3 linked regions of the Saccharomyces cerevisiae S288C genome follow. The gene in region 3 interacts genetically with the main gene of each other region. Each region holds a gene or a part of one and is shown on either strand. Other genes may lie near its edges. The genes, in order: MIT1, CIS3 and CRH1.

Region 1 (4,560 bases), on a different chromosome or scaffold from region 3:
AAAAAAAGTAAAGGACTTTAATTAATAAGGGAAAATAAATTTTCTCTTTCAATAAATTTAACACATAATTCTCTTAATAATTTTCTAATAATAATCTACTTTAAAAACAAAATATAATCGGTTTAGCAAGCCATTTTTCAATGATCTTTAATTTTTTAATACGATACTGATAATAACTTAATAAACTGAACTAAAATAAAATATTTTGTTTTGATTGCGAAGTAGATGAGTGAGCTGTGTGGCTGGTGAGTTGTATAATTCGCTAGTGAAACTGATGGGCAAAAAAAATTTGAATTTAGGGGGGAGAGTAACCTGTGTTGTGAGTTTTTGTTTTGTTTTGTTTTGTATATCTATTATATAAGAAGATAAGTACTGTCAAGAAGTAGAAGATTTTAAAAGGTAAGACAGCGAGCCGAAACTTCTTTAAAGAAGACTAAAATTTCGGAATTGGAAAAAAAGGTTGGAGTATTTATCTTCCGTATTTAAAGTCGGAAATTTTTCATCTTTTTTTTTCAAGATGTATGCTCATGCACTTTATTCCCCGAAGATCTTCGAAAGCAGTTCAATTTAATTGGCTGGAGATTGGCGTTTGGAGAGGCGGTGTGTATGTCAAGAAAGGCATTGTCAACGCCCGGACAAATAATTCTAATTTTTACAAGATGCCGGTGGTGTTCGGCATTGTAAAAGGTATGGGTGCTTTGTGCGTCCACGCATGGGGTATGGGGTATGGGGGCATCATCGATTGTTCTCCGGTAACGGAACACGGCAATATTTCTGTTCTACAGCTTGAATACATGCCGTGGATCTGTTTATCAAAGATAATGTCATGTAGCGTGGCAAGTCGACACAGCAACGTGTGGATAATGGATGAGACGATAGCGCCACTGGTTGGTTGTTTGTAAGCTTCGATTGGTAACAGTGGGCTAAAATAGATTGTAGTTATACCCCCACGTTTGCTGGGTCTCACGATCCATATCAGACTGCCCGCGTGGGGTTAATTCTGAGGTGTTGAGCCAGCCAACTCAGACGTTTTGATGACGAAGAACAGAAGATGCAAGTCTTCTACGTATGCAATGATCTGTCCAACTCACCGAAACAAGAAAAAATTTTGCGTTTTTTTTTTCCTACAAATCCCCCATTTATTCGGAAGGTGTGGGTGGAGGCGTAGTTTTTTGTTTATTTTTTCCCAATTTACGTAGTCCCGCAGGTCGGTTTTCCTCTCAGTCTCCGTACATTTCTTATTTTTTACGTTTAAAGTTCGTTAACGAGGCAAAAAATGGCCTGTCTTCCTCCTTTTCCGCCGGCAACTGTAACTGTAAACTGTAAAATTGTAAGTGTAATTGTAATTGTAACTGTAATTTTAACGCTGAATTCTTGCGCGCTCTCGTTGGTTACTATCTTTTCTTCTTAATCGAAGTGTGTACAGTTATGTGCCGTTTGTTTCAATTTGGCTGAATCTTCCTCATCTTGCCCCTTCTTTGGTGTTTTTTTTGCGCAACTCAAAACCTCGTTACTGCATCAAATTTAAATTTAAGCTAGAGAGAAGGTAGTGAGAAAGCTATTTTGTTTATTTGTATTTTTTCGTTTCCCGATCGTTTCCCTTCCATTTCTGTTTTCGAACCCTTTTATTTTCTATCTGTGAATTAGACAGCCTGTTCACCGGTAGCCTTTTGATTGTTTGTTTGTCTTTTTTAAGATTATCAATATTATTTAATATCTCGCCTCAACTATCGACAATATAGCCTATTTTCTTCTCTTTTTTGGTCCGCCTCTGTTGTACGCCATTTCTATACTGTGTTACTAGGATAAAATAAATACCTGTACTGCATCATCTTTCCTATCACCATCTTTTTCCACAAAACAACATTTCAACTAGACACAAGGACAACGTAAATTTCTAAATGGATATCGAGCCTACTTTCAAAGGGTACATTGAAGATGAAGATGACGCTTTGCTTATTCTTCAAGCAACTTTGGATGGCAAGTTAAAGCATATACCAAGAAGGCCTTATGAAATAGAAAGACCTTATTTGATCGTATCAGGTAGTATATTCGTTTTTATTGAAGAGATATCGGGCATCAAGAGATGGACTGATGGCGTTTCTTGGTCTCCATCAAGAATATCAGGCAAGTTTCTAATATACAAGGAACTAGACAAGGAAAACGCCGGGTCTAATGCTAATGCTACTTCGAGTGGCAGTACTGATTCCGCCGTCATTACGGATGGAACTTCTGGCGCGAGAAATAACCCTTCTTCGTCGAAAATCAAGCTACCTCCTTTGAAGAATCACCAGTTTGATTTGCCACCTACTATGGGCCATTCAAGTTTTGAGTCAGAGCAAGACACCTCCATTTCTCCATCAAACCGTTCGAACTTACCTTTAAAGTATACTGGCCTGGTGAAGAAGACAATATCTGTGAAGCTGAAGAGACCTCCATTCAACTCGATTGAAAATTTACATATTGTCTCTTATTATTCTGTAAAAGATATAAAACAAAATTGTCTAGTGACTCCTAAAGCTTCTCCTTTTTTGAAAGATGTTAGACCTTCACAGGAACTAATTGTCGCGATGGGAAATACAACCTTAGGCAACGTGAAAAACAATTCCACTACCACCGGTAATGGTCCTAATAATATAAACAATAAAAGCAACTCTTCCACTCCCCTGAATACTGTTATTTCCACGAATAACAATAGTGCTAATATAAATGCTGCTGGCAGTAATCAATTTACTAGTGCAAACAAAAATTATTATTATAAAAATGATGAAAGCTCTGGATACCCAATCACTCAATTTGCTCCCGCATTACCATCAACAACTTTGATGTATACGGCGAATCCACCTTATATCACTCAATCTCCTGATAACACTAACGCTACTGGTATGAATACACATGTTAATAATAACAATAATAATAGTAATAACAGTAGTAATAGTAATAATAGTAACAATAATAATAATAATAATAATAATAATAATAATAACAATAATAATAATATTAATAATATTAATAATGTCAATACTAATGCAGGGAACGGTAACAATCCAAATAGATTCCATAACGCCTCTTTTGCTTATAACACCACCGGTGACTTTATTAATCCGCAACAACAAGGACAAATTTCTTATCCATTTTATTATACAACAATTCCGATAAACAATCCTAACTATTATACCACACAACCTCCAAACCCTGTAACAAACGCTTCAACGAACGAGAATCAAGGCTATTCCACCTCCTCAACTCAACACCCTTATTATGGGCATCCTACTGAAAGTCAATCAGCATCAGCAGCCGCAGGCGCTACTGGCACTCCTGGTACAGCCGAGAATGTCCTTCCCGTATCCAGTATGCAGCCACTACTCCATCAAGCCAATAATAATAGTGCAAGCTCTGCTACCTCTACAGCTCCTTATCCGGTGTATTCTATGAATGTGAATGTTCCTTATTACAATTCTTCTGCTTCTGCATACAAGAGGGCACAAGAAAATACTACTTCAAATACGAATGCAGAACCTTCTGGTGCTACAAGCACTAACTCAGGCACCATGCTATCAAATCCTGCATACGCTAATTCTCAGTACACTCCATCGCAAGTGTATTACCAGGGATTCCCCCAATATGCCATGGCAAGTGCTCAAAATCCGTCTATGTATCAACACCAGCACCAACATCCTTTGCCCACTGTATATCCAATAGCGACGCCTCAACAAAATATAATGAGCTCTGGTCACACTTTGAGCACTATTGGATCTGATCCTCAACATCATCACTATCAACAAGAGCCCAACGACCACAAAAACTTCGCTATGGGTCACGCGAACAATAATATCTTAAACATCACCAATAATGATACGATGAACAACCTCAATACAAACACTTCAACTACTACACAATAAGTAAATATATTTTAAAAAAGTACTCCGATTTTCTTTTCTTCTCCTTGCCTTTTTGAGTATCGGGTTTACTCATGAAAATTATATCATTTTTCATTTTACAGTTTTATATACTTCGCTTCTTTACGTAATCATGCCTTTAATTTCATCTTCATTTGCCTATGGAAAAAAGCTATTCCTTTTGACATCATAAAATATCTTTATTAAAGAATCCCCTCTGTCAACATTTTCTACGAAAGATAGCTTAGTGTATTTTTTGAAGATGCTGTCGAAAATGATTCTCGACATACTCGCGCTGGTGGAAAAATGAAGTGGAAAAGATAAGCAAATTGATATATAAGCAAATAAACATATAATTTGGACGTACATCGAAATTAGTTGTTCTCAACTTATTTTCATTGTTTGATGAAAAGCGGAATATACATCACGGCTATATAATGAATAATGGAGACAATAAAACGACATTAGAAAACTCAAAAAATGCGTCACTAGCTAATGGAAATTATGCGATTCCCACAAAACTAAATAGGCTGAAAAAGAATGCTGACCCTAGAGTTGCTGCAATTTCAGGTGCTTTATCTGGTGCACTATCCGCAATGCTGGTCTGTCCTTTTGACGTTGCGAAAACAAGATTACAAGCACAAGGTCTCCAAAACATGAC
Region 2 (3,028 bases), on a different chromosome or scaffold from region 3:
TCCTTTTCTACTACTACTCTAGTCGCATCCATTCCTTTGCATTTATCTTTTCTGCGGTTGGCCAATCCATTCTTCCGAGAATTTGGCTAGCCATACTTGATGTTTTCCCATTATTGGTTCGTTTGGCAATGCTAATTTTCTTAATTGCCCCTTATATACTCTTCCATAAAATGTTTTTTTTATAACTAATTTTCTGTATATCATTATCTAATAATCTTATAAAATGTTAAAAAGACTTGGAAAGCAACGAGTGATCGTGACCACATAATTGCCTCGCTACACGGCAAAAATAAGCCAGTCCTAATGTGTATATTAAAGGCTGCATGTGGCTACGTCTATTAAAAAAAAAATATTTATCTAAATAAAAGAAACCTTCTTTTAGAGAACCTTAAAAATGTAATATACAAATCATTCATACCAAAATCTTTTTACAAATCATAATCTTTTTCTATTTCTTTTCCCTTATAAAAGGTAGAACATTAGTACTTTGATGTAGCTATTTAACAGTCGACCAAAGAAACAGCTTCCAAATGAATGGCACTACATTGTTCGGCGACGTTTTGATCATACAAGTTGTAGAAATTGCCGGATAGACATTGGTAGAAAACGTCACTGTCACCCAAAGCCAAGTAACCATCTTCAGTAATGGACCAACCGGCAGCGTAGATGGCGCCGGCTTGTGGTGGTGGACCGTCAAATTGGAATTGTCTGTTAGCAACAATAGAACCAATTCTACCCTTGGCATCAGTCAAAACACCGTCCTTCAAGGTCAATTCTAAGGTACCAGAATTCTTACATGAGCTATCTTTCAAAGATGGAGTGGCACAAGAAGATGATGTGGCATTAGTAGATGTTTTAGATGCAGAGGAAGAGATCTTTTCGGAGCTGGTTGGGGTAGCGGTAGTAGTAGCTTGGGCTTGACTATCGGTGGCTTGAGCAGTAGCAGCAGAAGTGGCTTGGACTTGACCGTCACCAATTTGAGAGATAACGTCTCTCTTAGCTTTTGAAGAGGTAATAGCTTGAACAGCAATACCAAAGGTGGTAGTGTATTCGGCAGCACCACAAGAGATGGAGCCGGTTGGGGTTAAGGTGGACCATGGTTCACCTGGAGTGTAACCTTCAGCAGAAGCAGTGGCGGATAGAGCAGCAACGGAGGCAGCTAGGGCGACGTTTTTGAATTGCATTTTAGATGTAAGTTTAGCGAGTGAAATAGTTTTATGTGTCTTGATTTACAATTACTACTGCCAAAAAGAGAAGGTTAAGATAGACCCACCACAAGATAGATTGGCTCTCTTTCCCGAATACTTATATACTGACTGTTTGGAGATGAAACCTTCGAGAATTTTTCACCCACTGTCAACCTATTTCTTATTTTTGTTTTTGTTTGTGGACGTTTAGCTTAAATCGGCGCGAATTTTTTTGGCGCAGTACACGCTGACCCGTTTCTTTTGGGCGACCGTGTCTCGACCGTAGCAAAAGGGGAAAAAGAAAAGCTGGAAGGGCTAGGCGGGATCTGGCCCGTGGAAATCGTATGGAATGCATAGGCGGCCCGGCCAGGCACCACGGAAAAAAGCTGATTGTCCTCTTTTACGAGCCGTGGATTTGCAGGAAGAAGCAACGCACGCATGGAAAACACGTGACCTGAAAGTCACCGGAACAAATTAGCCACATCGACGTTTCTTTTACTATACAGCTCGAACAAGCTAACTTGAAATGCTACAACCATGTTGGTATAATTGTGTACAGACACGTGCATTTTTGGTACGAAGAGGGTTACCCGGCTGCGAGTTTTTTTCATTATGAACTAATTCAGGGAAATAATCCCGTTCGGGAAATAGATAAACAACGCCAAACGAAAAAAAATATATAGTGCATATATGACGAGATTTAATTATCGCCAATAGGTTCTTTCTTAGGCAAAATTAAAGTTTACTCAATTTCTATTTATACATTAACTGCTATTTACGACGCATTATATATATTCAGTCATTGCGTAGTATAGACGTGGAGAAACGAAAAAAAAAAAAGGAAAAGCAAAAGCCTCGAAATACGGGCCTCGATTCCCGAACTACTAGAGGTTGGGAACTTCCAGGGTCTGATGAATTCTTTGCTGCTTTACCAGGTCAAAATATTCTATTTCTATCAAACTAGAATGCGGGTGTTCATCCATAATTAGACGCGTTTTTTGTTCACCCGCAGCCATATCCCCCAAATATACTTGCTCGAATGTAGCTTGTGGTAGACGAAGAGTTACATCTAGATAACGCTTAGTGTGCAGCTCCTCTAAAAACTGCTTAATGCTAGCGTTCAATGGAGTCATGCGGCGTTGCGAAATTTCGTATCTCCAATGGTAAGATAACTGGTCAAAGGCCTTTTTTAATTTCTGATCATGCTCAATGTCAACAACGTCACTCCCGTTGAGGACCAAGATTTGCTTGGCGTATCCAGTTGCAATATGGTCATCTGTATCCACGTATGCACTTGTTGACGCTAATCTTTCACAAGTTTGTAATGTTACCTTATACTGTTGCTTTTCATCGCGGAAGACGTTTGGATTAACCACTTCTAAATTATCCAAGAAAGTTGTCCATCCGTCCCAATTTTTATTTATCATTCCGATGAAGGTGCCAAATGGGCCTACTACACCGGATCCATCTCTTCCAACAACAACTATTCCCAGTAAATCGTCTGTGTTTAATCCATCCAATATTTGATGAACACTCTTTAGAACTCTCTTGCGATACAGTTCCCCATCAGCATGCGACAAATTCAAACATACAATAAGTTTTAGCGGCGTATCACTGTGCAATCTTTTCCACGGTAGACGAGAATCATGGGATTGTGCTGATATAACATCAGGCGGCGCTCCTAAAGCGCCTATTATATTCACATGAGAGAGTTCCTTCACTGTAGAAACAATCTCACTTAATGGTAGTGTCTCCAGTGAAGAATTTTCTAGACAATACTTCCATTTGGGAAGCAACCACTTTTCGCAGTTTTCGTTGAACCTCAAGTATATTTCAGGTAT
Region 3 (3,836 bases):
CCAGGAATAGATGACATAATCTTGATAACGTGAAACAGTTTAACGGGAGATTAACATGGTAGACATACGATGATGAAGATCTATTGTAAATTTCCAGGTTGAATACAAAACGGAACTAGTGTTCTTCCACAAACACGAATATCTTTTTATTTGCGAACAAGAATTGAGAAAAGAAAAAATACACGGTAAGATATATAGAAATAAGATGTACAGATCATTATACGCACCCTAAGGGACTAGTTTGTGTGAGTGAATGGCTGTGAAGTTTTATATTTATCTTTATCTAAAGAAGAATTTACCTGTTTTTTTCGGAAAACTAGTGCGCCAAGAGAGTAATTAGGTAGACCGGGTAGATTTTTCCGTAACCTTGGTGTCCCATTTTCTTAATGATAAGTATCGATCTGTGGAGAGGGGTAAAAAAACTTCTCCTCGAGGTTATGAGAACTCACAAAGGGAAATTGATATTTCTACACAGTAATATTATATATTCTTCTTTATACACTTCACCCATTATTCTATCACATTATGAATTCTTGTGTTTCAGCCCCATTAAATCTGATGACGGTTTTCCATTTTTGTGTCATATTTTTACATTGTGTATGATAACGTAGTAGCTTGTGAACGATAGGTAGTAATTAATTCTGTTGGTAATTAATTGTTGAACTGTAGTGTCAATCAAGAATAAATGCAGATCTTCTTATTCTATATAAGAGAAGTATAGAATACAGCCTTATTAGTAATATTAAACATGCTCATATGATTATCATGAAAGCATATTATGATTTCAATGTCATGACTTACATCCGTATATGTGCAAACACCAAGTTGATCATTTGAGCAATAGGTGTTTAACTTACTTTGCCCACAATGCCACTTAGTGTGTTATCATTCTCCATCGTGAAACATCAATGATGTGTGGCGTCCGATTACTTCATATGGTCACTAATGGATTAGTTATGAAGAAGTATGAGTAGCTATTTTAAGAGATTCTAATTCAAACATTATAGCAAACACAGAATTTCGGCAGACAAGTAAAATGTTATATCTTCGATATTTCAAGATGAAGCGGTGGCTCAATGGTAGAGCTTTCGACTCCAATTAAATCTTGGAAATTCCACGGAATAAGATTGCAATCGAAGGGTTGCAGGTTCAATTCCTGTCCGTTTCATTTTATTATTTAATTTTTTTTTTTTCGGAAAAAGAGGCTGGACAAATATCGCGAACCGCGTGAAGTGGCTTAGTTTTCCTTATTCGGTTGAATTGATGACGCGTTTTCCCAGCCCATCGATTTTTTTGGCGACTATTTCGATGGCGTTTTCCAGGAAAGTAAAAATAGATCTGAGCTATAATGCATTAGAACCTCTGAGGGCTTGCTTTTCGTGGTATGGGATACGAAAATGACATTATTAATTGCAAGGGCAGTTTCTTTTCGCTCGATCAAGAAGCAATGTTTCCGAATCGGGAATGTGATATAATTAGAGCGTATGGTTACTGGTTTCCCTCATGCAACAATGGATGTTATATAAATACTTGCTGGTTAGTAACATGAAAAAGAACAAAAGGTGAAACACTTTTGGAACTTTCAATAATTGCCTACTCCTCTCCATATTCTACATTTCTACTAAATAGCAAGAGAAAGGTTAAGATAATATAATATTCATAATAATTCAATACAGCAAAAAACCATGAAAGTGCTTGACCTACTAACGGTACTCAGTGCCTCTTCATTATTATCTACATTCGCGGCTGCCGAAAGTACTGCTACTGCAGACAGTACAACTGCAGCTTCTAGCACTGCTTCGTGTAACCCGTTAAAAACTACAGGTTGTACGCCGGATACAGCTTTGGCAACTAGTTTTAGCGAAGATTTCTCATCTTCATCCAAATGGTTTACCGACTTGAAGCACGCAGGTGAAATCAAGTACGGTTCAGACGGTTTGTCAATGACACTGGCGAAAAGATACGATAATCCAAGTTTGAAGTCTAACTTTTATATCATGTATGGTAAATTGGAAGTTATCTTAAAAGCTGCCAATGGTACCGGTATTGTTTCATCATTCTATTTACAAAGTGATGATTTGGATGAAATTGATATTGAATGGGTGGGTGGTGACAACACTCAGTTCCAATCTAACTTCTTTTCTAAAGGTGATACCACAACATACGACAGAGGCGAATTTCACGGTGTCGACACTCCTACCGACAAATTTCATAACTACACTTTAGATTGGGCGATGGACAAGACGACTTGGTACCTCGATGGAGAGTCTGTCAGAGTATTATCAAACACATCAAGTGAGGGTTACCCACAATCTCCTATGTACCTAATGATGGGTATCTGGGCCGGTGGTGACCCAGACAATGCTGCTGGTACCATTGAATGGGCTGGTGGTGAAACCAACTACAATGACGCTCCATTCACTATGTACATTGAAAAGGTCATTGTAACTGATTATTCTACCGGTAAAAAGTACACATATGGTGACCAATCTGGTTCTTGGGAATCTATTGAAGCTGACGGTGGTTCTATTTACGGCAGGTATGACCAAGCCCAAGAAGATTTCGCAGTTTTAGCCAACGGTGGTAGTATTTCCAGCAGCTCTACATCCTCTTCTACTGTATCTTCCTCGGCGTCTTCCACTGTATCTTCCTCGGTTTCTTCCACTGTGTCCTCCTCGGCTTCTTCCACTGTGTCTTCCTCGGTTTCTTCCACTGTATCTTCTTCGTCTTCTGTATCTTCCTCTTCATCCACATCTCCATCTTCTTCGACCGCTACTTCATCTAAAACACTTGCTTCCTCATCAGTCACCACATCTAGTTCCATTAGTTCATTCGAAAAGCAATCCTCCTCTTCATCCAAGAAAACAGTGGCTTCCTCTTCTACAAGTGAGTCCATTATTTCCTCCACTAAGACCCCAGCCACTGTTTCCTCTACCACTAGGTCTACAGTTGCCCCAACTACTCAACAATCTTCCGTATCATCGGACAGTCCTGTACAAGATAAGGGTGGTGTCGCAACATCAAGTAATGACGTGACCAGTTCTACTACCCAGATATCAAGCAAATACACATCTACAATCCAAAGTTCTTCCTCCGAAGCCAGCTCGACAAACTCTGTTCAAATTTCTAACGGTGCTGATTTAGCTCAGAGTTTACCAAGAGAGGGAAAACTTTTTTCCGTACTCGTAGCTTTACTAGCCTTGCTATAAGTGGAAAATTTCTTTTAGAACAATATTCGTAGATCACTAAGTAACATTTGAGACCGAAAAAAATAATAGCATAATAAAAATAAATACTAAATTTTAATACAACAGAAAGTCTTATACCTAAAGCATGATTTTTCCTTTTATTATTAAGGGTACGGTTCATACAAAGGAAATTTATGTCATCGTGTTTTAAAGAAAAAAAGAAAGCCCTGTAGGGGGCTCGAACCCCTAACCTTATGATTAAGAGTCATACGCGCTACCGATTGCGCCAACAAGGCTATTCTATTATTGGAAATCTGACCTCTCAGGTTTAATATGTAATTAAGAATCTATAGACTCGATTATCCACATTTCTTTCTTTTTTAGTCTTCTGAGATTTGGGTGAATAATTCTGAGAGATGGGTGAATTTCGAGATAATTGTTGGGATTCCATTGTTTGATAAAGGCTATAATATTAGGTATACAGAATATACTAGAAGTTCTCCTCGAGGATCTAGGAATCCTCAAAATGGAATCTATATTTCTACATACTAATATTACGATTATTCCTCATTCCGTTTTATATGTTTCATTATTACATTATCAATCCTCGCATTTCAGCTTCCTCTAACTTCAATGACCGCTTCTCAT

What was found.
Region 1: mutations in CRH1 (region 3) and MIT1 together harm fitness more than expected from each alone (negative genetic interaction), as found in Saccharomyces cerevisiae (one large-scale study listed by BioGRID).
Region 2: mutations in CRH1 (region 3) and CIS3 together harm fitness more than expected from each alone (negative genetic interaction), as found in Saccharomyces cerevisiae (one large-scale study listed by BioGRID).

What each region holds. Positions count from the first base shown.
Region 1 is NC_001137.3:139,991-144,550, forward strand, and holds MIT1 (Mit1p), read left to right. Parts: upstream 1-1,901; coding exon 1,902-3,902; downstream 3,903-4,560. Other genes in the region: YEL008W (uncharacterized protein), read left to right, coding at 522-902; YEA6 (NAD+ transporter), read left to right, coding at 4,337-4,560. UniProt on the Saccharomyces cerevisiae protein: Transcriptional regulator of pseudohyphal growth.
Region 2 is NC_001142.9:121,765-124,792, forward strand, and holds CIS3 (Cis3p), read right to left. Parts: upstream 1,185-3,028; coding exon 501-1,184; downstream 1-500. Other genes in the region: cyclin-dependent protein serine/threonine kinase inhibiting protein FAR1, read right to left, coding at 2,072-3,028. UniProt on the Saccharomyces cerevisiae protein: Component of the outer cell wall layer. Required for stability of the cell wall and for optimal growth. Required for resistance against several antifungal and cell wall-perturbing agents.
Region 3 is NC_001139.9:876,042-879,877, reverse strand, and holds CRH1 (transglycosylase), read left to right. Parts: upstream 1-1,685; coding exon 1,686-3,209; downstream 3,210-3,836. UniProt on the Saccharomyces cerevisiae protein: Dual chitinase/transglycosylase that plays a role in cell wall architecture. Chitinase and transglycosylase activities are coupled. Required for the polysaccharide cross-linking at the septa and the cell wall.